Cricetulus griseus: one gene and its partner. The protein of the gene in region 2 interacts with the protein of the main gene of each other region in a biochemical or structural test. Links are inferred from orthologs where the notes say so. Each region holds a gene or a part of one and is shown on either strand. Other genes may lie near its edges. The genes, in order: ras association domain-containing protein 1 and Daxx.

Region 1 (3,908 bases), on a different chromosome or scaffold from region 2:
CTGGTACCTCCCCTGAGGGAGGGCTGACGAGCCCCAGGTCCCCTCCCCGCCCACACTCCCCCCACCCCGACCCCGAGCTCACCACGTTCGTGTCCCTTTCCAGTGCGGGATCCCAGCCCAGGTCTCGGGGCCCGCAGCAGTCCAGGCAGACGAGCGCACGACAACGGTAATGGCAGGTGAACTTGCAGTCTGCAGAAAGGGCTGACGGTGAGGCGGAGGAGCTTGGCCAAGTGACCCACAGACTGAGGGAGCCTCTGCCCGACAGATTTGGGCTCCACTGGCTTTTTCTCAAACGCGGTTGCCGCCCACTGCTACACAGATGCTGGAAGCACGTTTGGAAACTGCCTGGAAGGCCTCAGGCTGTTACCCTGCTCAACACTTGTGTTTGCCTATCTACCGCAGAGCTACTACTTCACTTTGCCATTAACTTGAAAACAAAAGTGTTTAATTTACGACTTCCTCTATTTGTCATCTGCCTCTTCACTTGTTTACACAAGCCTATTTTGTTTTCTGAGAAAGGGTCTCATGTAGTTCAGGTTAACCTCAAATGGTAACCTTGAAGTCGGGAGATCCTCCTGCCTCCAACTGCTCCAAGTGCCAAGATTACAGATGTGTGCCAATCCCCAAAGCACACATCTAATGTTTTGCCCTCTGTATACGTTAGCAGGGTCGTTCCGTCCTAAATCTGTGTTGCTTGCTCCCTTTGACTCCCAGGGACAGCACTCACTAGCTGTTTCTTGTCGCTTCTCTGTAGCTCCTTGCTAGCCCCTTCATCAGTTCCGACTCCCAGGTCTAATAATTGATGTCCAGGTTCCTCATCTGGATACTGTCCCAGCTCTGTCTACACTCACCTGATCCAGATCCAAGGCGGACCTGATTTGCCTCTTTAGGACAAATCCTACATGTAGTGCCTTCACTTTAATGCCTAATAAAGATTTCAAACGTACATCACCAAAATTTCACTTTTCTTCCACTGCCACTCACCCCTGGGTTCCTATCTCAGCAAAAGTTACCACTGTCCATCTAGTTATTTGAAGCAAAACCCTACACATTCTTGATTCCCTTACCAACCTCTTGTCAGACATCCAAACTGTCTGGTTTCTCACCTCCAGAGCAACTTTGTTTCTATCTGAAAATGTTGCAGTATCACAGCCCAGGCTTCTATGTGGTATTCTGTCACAAATGACTGTTCTTCACTAGCTGAACCTGTGACATACTCGGGTAGTGAATGAATGAGCTCTAGGCATGCACAGGCCTACAGCCCACCCTTAAGTTCCCATATGGCTCGAAGCGCTGATTCTCAGCTCCATCTACACATGGGAATTTGGGAAGCAGAGGCAGGTGGACCTCTGTTTCACCCTGGTCTGAATAGAGAGTTGCAGGCCAGCCAGGGCTGCATAGTGAGACCCTGTCTCAAAACAACAACAACAAAAGGGAACGACAACAAAGCCCTCGATACCTAAGGTCCACTTTCAATAATGGACTCAAGAAGCCTGAGAGGTCTAGACATAAGGCGATGGGAGGGTATAAAGTATCCCGGGTGAGTCTAACTTCCGTTTGCGGCTAATCCCCAGGTCAGAAGGACCACTATGCGTGTGGTTGTGTTCATGTTTTAGCCTCTGGATCACTGACTCAAACCTCGACTAAAAGACTCAACAAGGTTCCTACTTACAAGGAGCCCAACCAAGGTAACTTTTTCTGGCCCCCTGTCATATGTGGGTGAAGTCACCCAAGAATCTGGAGGGGAACACAGTGCCAATCCTTTGGAAGAGGAGGACCTGGGAATATAGGCACAGGGCACAGTAGGCACAAAGACTTTTCAAGGGTTCTGGCGCTTTAAAGAGCTTGGAACCAGCACCTTGTTATTTACAGACATCTGCCTGTGCCCACCTGTGCGCCAGGCACGGACGAAGTGTGACACCGTGATAAACCACTTTCTCAAACACGCTCCCTGATGGGGCAAGGTAACGGGACCTGGTCTGCAGGATCATCGCTGCTGACCCCCTCCGCTGCCACTTGACCCGCAGCCATGGTGCTCCTGCCTTTGACCTCCCGTTCCGTGATCGCCGGCTGTGTGGGGCTGCTACTCACGCGCGCACTGTAGGCCCTTGCGCACGACGCCCCAGATGAAGTCTCCACAGAGGTCGCACCACGTGTGCGTGGCGGGACCCGCAGGCTGGAAGCGGTGGCCGCGCCCCGGGACGTGCTGCTGCGAGGGATTGCGTGCTGTGCACGGCGCGATGCGCAGAGCGTTGGCACGCTCCAGCCGGGTCCGGCCGGGGCCGATGCGCCCAGACGGTGCCAGCTCCCGTAGCTCAATGAGCTCTGGCTCTGCCGACATGGCCCGGTCAGGCCGGGACTCTAGCGGACTGGGCGCTAGCGGGCGAGGCCGCAGGGCGGGGCCGCCACTTCGGCACCGCCCCCAGGATCAAGGCAGGGCGGCGGGAAAGAGAGGAGGAGAACGCAATGGAAACCGAGGAGAGGCCACAGTGTGCACTTGTGGGCGGGGCGGGGCACAGGGGCGGGCGCTTTCCAAGAGCCCCTTCCCAGGCTTTCCTTCAGTCCTTGCCCCAGCTCCCCTCCCCAGCCCCCAACGACGACTGCAAAGCTCCACACTGATGAGTTTCGTGTCCCCTTTACTGTGATAAAGGAAAAGGGTCTGCACATCCGGCCCTTTCGTACGTCCCCCAACCCTGTCTGCCAGTTTGCTGATGCTGAGGCCTGGTTCTCTTCTTTACATATTCGTGGGGTGGGGCAGGAAGCGAAGAGCCTTTGCTTGTGTGTTTGTCGGGTGGTGGTGGTTTGCAGCGCTACTTGGCTCAGCTGTGCTCACCACCAGAGAAATTGAGGTCTGACAGGAGCCAGGCAGAACTACCGAGTCTCAGAGTCACATTCTGGCCGTCAGAAGCTGCAGCCTTCACTTGGCTCTGTCACCTTGGGCTGCTAGAACACATGTCTTTCCGTGCTTCTCCCAGTGCTTGACTTGGCAATCCCTGCAGGGGTGTGGGCAGCGTGAGGATGACAGTGCTTGTGGGAGGACTCAGGGTTGGAACTTAGGGGGATTAAGGTTCGGGGGTCCCTTACCTGCAGCAATACCACACACTCTGGCATCTGGAGCAGCGCTTGGAGGCCTCTGCTTGGCAGTAAGCACAGTGGGGTCTCTCTGGAGCTATTGCCTCTAGGACATCCAGCCTGTAGGTTTCAGCCCACCTGGGGGAGGGGCCAAGAAGATCTGACTATGACAGGTAGGGGCACAGACGCACTCCCTCCCGCCATGGCCATGCCTTCTATGTCCTATGCACCCGTCTTGAGCCACGCAGCACACCTTACCTCTGGGCCTGCCGGCGAAGGTCCTTCTCTGAGGGGCTGAATACATGCTGCAGCTGGTGCTTGGCAATAGCCTGCCATTTGCCTTTGTTCTCTCGCTCTAGCTGATTCCAGATTTCCGGGATCTAAGAGAATGTAATAGAGAGGAGAGGAAGGAACTGGCAAAGCGGATCATGGTCCCGAGCAACTAACCTTCGAGGTGCCTACCTGTTCCAACACCAGGTCCTTCTTAGGGGGCTGGGTTTCAGCCAGGGCCAGGTGGGCCAGGAAACCCTTCAGGTCCGCAAGGTTGGGCAGCTGGTCAAGAAGTGTATCCGTGAGGAAGGCCTGAAGCTGCAAGGCATCCGGGGAAGGCCATTGGGAAACAAGTCCTGGCCAGAGGGTCAAGAGACAGGGAGTCCCCAAGTTGGGTTGGGTGTACTTGGAAGGTTTATGTCTCACCAGTTCCCATGTCACAAGAAGTCCAAGTTGTGGAAAGAGGACAGGGACAGGCAGGGATACAATGGGGGTGAGGCAGGGTAGTGGTGGTGGCAGTGGGGGATGGGTAGAGCCATTGAGCTCCTCACCTTAAGAAGCTGTCC
Region 2 (3,296 bases):
GGCGCAGGCCGGCACCCCGCCCGTGCCGCCGCGCGGAGTCGACCGACGCACGCGCTTCCCCTTTAAAGGGCCGGCCGCCCCTCCCTCTTAAAGGCGCCGGCCCCCTCCGCCGCCCAGGACGCGGGACTTGATTGGGCCTCGGCCCGCGTCCCCTTTAATCCCGCCCGCTGCCTCTCCGCTGACGGCCGGTACCGGCTTCCGCCGCTCGGGCTCCACCCCCGGCTCGCGGGATCTAACCGCCCTCTCCCCGGCGAATGACAGCACCCCGAGGCCCCGCCTCCCTGGGGATTGGCCGAGCCAGCCGGACGGAGCCGGCCCCCACGGGCCTTTCACTCAACCGCTGCAAGGCTGAGCCAAGCGGCTCCGGGAGGCCCGGGAAGCCCGCTCTCGCCTGGGCCCGGGGGAGGCTCGGGATCGCGGTGAGGACGGCGCCCCCGAGGTGCCCAGGCCAGCCCCGAACCAGGCGGCGGCTGTCACAGCAGAGACACAAGGTAAACACAAGAATACAATAAGAAAAGAAATTCATTGTTTATTAATGTGTTTGCAAAACTTAAAACATCTGGTTGTCAAAAGACACGCCACCAAAAGGGGAGGAGCGCAGTCCATCCTCTGCTCAGTCTTCTGCCCGCGGCCATCCAAAACATTGTGGAGGCAGGGCGAGCAGGAGGCCGCTAATCAGAGTCTGAGAGCACAATGATCTCCTCGGGATCACACTGCGTGGCCACACTCATCTGCAGAGAAGTCACAAGGGGACAGGCAGAGGGGAGGAGTCAGGTCCAGCCGGCGGCGGTGGCGGCGGCGGCAGCAGCACTCAGGAGGCAGAGGCAGGCGGATCTCTGAGTCTGGGGCCAGCCTGGTCTCCACAGAGTGCCAGGACAGCCAGGGCTACATGGAAAGACCCTATCTCAAGAACAAACCAAACTAGGATGGAGGTCTGGAAGAAGAGCCAGCCACTAGGAGCACTGGCTGCTTTGCAGAGGACCTGGGTTCGGTACCCAGACTCACACGGCGCGCAGCTCGCTGGCTGCCTTCTGTAACCCCCGTTCTTGAGGACCAGGCGCCCCTTCTGGACTCCACTGAACACCAGGCACAAATGTGGTACACAGACATGCATAGACGAAACACCTTTTCACATATAAGTAAACCTTTTCTTTTTTTAAGGCAGGGGTCTCACACTATGTAACCTTGGAACTCATTGTGTAGACAAGACAGTTGGCCTTGAACTTATAGAAATCTGCCTGTCTCGGGCTGGAGGGATGGCTCAGAGCTTAAGAGCACTGCCCACTCTCCAGAGGTCCTGAGTTCAATTCCCAGCAACCATATGGTGGCTCACAACCATCCGTTATGAGATCTGGTGCCCTCTTCTGGCCTGCAGGCATATATGCGGGCAGAACACTACATCACAAATAAATCTTTTTTTTTTTAAAAAAAAGGGAGCCATCAAAAAAAAAAAAAAAAAAAAAAAAGAAAAGAAAAAGAAAACTGCCAGTCTCTGCCTCCTGAGTGGTGGACTTAAAGGCATAAACTACTACGTTGTGCAAAATAAACCTAAACACACATACACCACACACACGCACGCACACACAACACAAACCTAGGATGGATAAATAGAGATGTGTGAGGTGCAATACCCCATGGAGAGGGGACAGTAAGAAATGAATTGTTGCCAGGCAGTGGTGGCACATGTCTTTAATCCCAACACTTGGGAGGCAGAGATCTCTGTGAGTTCAAGACTAGCCTGGTCCACAAAGCAAGTTCCAGGACAGCCTCCAAAGCCACCCAAAGCTATACCAAGAAACCCTGTCTCGGAAAAAAATAAAGAAATGAATTGTTAGGGAAACACAGCAGCCCAACTTACCTTATAACTACAAGGCTGGGGAGACTGAGGCTGGGGGGTTGGGGACGTCAGAGATGGAAAAGGGCTGCAGAGGGAGCTGGTCACCAGGCCATGGCTGGGAGAGTCCACCCTTGTGGAGGAATCGGCCACTGGGGAAGATCCAGTAGGCGGGGTCCACACATTCTTCCCATTTCCCTGCTGAGCCTTTTGCTTCTCTACATTGCTAAGGCAAAGAGAACAGATGGACGGGAAGGGGACCCGAAACTGCGGCTGCAGAGTGCCCAGTATCTCCCAGAAGACCCTGACCTCAGGTCTGCTACCCGAAAGCCCCAGCTCCTTGCCATCCGCCTGCTCTTACCTGTTTTCTAATGGTTCAGAATCCAGCAGCTTCTTTTCCTTCCGAGATCTCTTGCATGGGGGACCAGAATCTTGCCAAGTGTGGGAAGAGACACGCCCATTGAAGGATGTAGAGGTGACCACATCTGCCCCGTTTTCCAAGACAGTGGGGAGGGAATCTTCTGACTGTTTCCTAGAAGAGGAAATGTCCTTCTCCTCAAGGCATGGGGTGGTATCCTTGTCTTCAATCTCTAGCTGAAAACTGTGGGACAAAGGACTCTCTTCTTCTAGGAATGGCTCTTCGGGCTGTTCCCCGCTGCTCTCAGCATCTACGCTGTGAGGGTCTGGAGACGCTGCTGTCTCTGACAGTCCTTTGTTTTGCTGCTCCCCTTGTGAGTTGCTTCTACTGGGGCTCTTATCTCCTTCACTGTCTGCAAAAGAGAGAAGGGAGGGTAGCAAAAGCAACGGGAGGAGGGGGCTGTGCAAAGGAGCAGGGGGGGGAGGGAAGGCCAGCAGGGCCGCAGGGGTGCTCTGCTCACACGTGTACCTGCTCCTCCTCCTCCCTCCTCCTCTCCGGCACCCCCCTCATCTTGCTGCAGTCGTTCTAGGTCCTCATCTTCATCTTCAGTGACCTCTTCCTCCTCCTCCTCCTCCTCCTCCTCCTCCTCCTCCTCCTCCTCCTCCTCACTTTCCTCATCGTCGTCAGTGTCAGCCCTGGAGGTAGTAGGGCACTCCTGGGATGCCAGTCCACTAGGACCCTGGGGGACAAAAGCGTCTCTTGTAAGGACTAGGACTCAAACCGGGGACCTCAGGAACACTAGGTGAGAAGACCACAAACGGCCCCACCCCCAAGGACTTGGTGCTTTCACTGTTTCCACACACTGCTCCATTGGTCCCCCTCGAGTCCCTGGGGGCCAGCGCAGGGGGAGGACAAGATCTCTCTGACAGGCGCTGACCCGTCCTTACCTCACCCGAATCCAAGGAGACTTTAGGGGAGCCCGAAGAATGGGAAGTGTTGCCTAGGAGCCTGGCTCGTCTCTTCTGCCTCTCGCCCTCCTCACTCTTGTCTTGCATCATTGCATATTTGGAGATGACCTCATCCAGCCGGCTCATGGCCAAGCTC

The links.
Region 1: the proteins of Daxx (region 2) and ras association domain-containing protein 1 form a complex in vitro, tested with the Homo sapiens proteins (4 studies listed by BioGRID and IntAct, with this or other methods). The link is inferred for Cricetulus griseus from reciprocal best matches to the Homo sapiens genes DAXX and RASSF1.

The regions. Positions count from the first base shown.
Region 1 is NC_048597.1:215,732,530-215,736,437, reverse strand, and holds the start of ras association domain-containing protein 1, read right to left. Parts: upstream 2,378-3,908; 5' UTR 2,342-2,377; coding exon 2,092-2,341; intron 947-2,091; exon of another isoform or gene 190-946; coding exon 83-189; intron 1-82. Other genes in the region: Zmynd10 (zinc finger MYND domain-containing protein 10), read right to left, coding at 2,918-2,993, 3,085-3,210, 3,331-3,452, 3,535-3,660, 3,894-3,908. UniProt on the Homo sapiens protein: Potential tumor suppressor. Required for death receptor-dependent apoptosis. Mediates activation of STK3/MST2 and STK4/MST1 during Fas-induced apoptosis by preventing their dephosphorylation.
Region 2 is NW_023276806.1:232,095,113-232,098,408, forward strand, and holds the end of Daxx (death domain-associated protein 6), read right to left. Parts: coding exon 3,140-3,296; intron 2,932-3,139; coding exon 2,721-2,931; intron 2,605-2,720; coding exon 2,196-2,604; intron 2,061-2,195; coding exon 1,859-2,060; intron 732-1,858; coding exon 672-731; downstream 1-671. UniProt on the Homo sapiens protein: Transcription corepressor known to repress transcriptional potential of several sumoylated transcription factors. Down-regulates basal and activated transcription.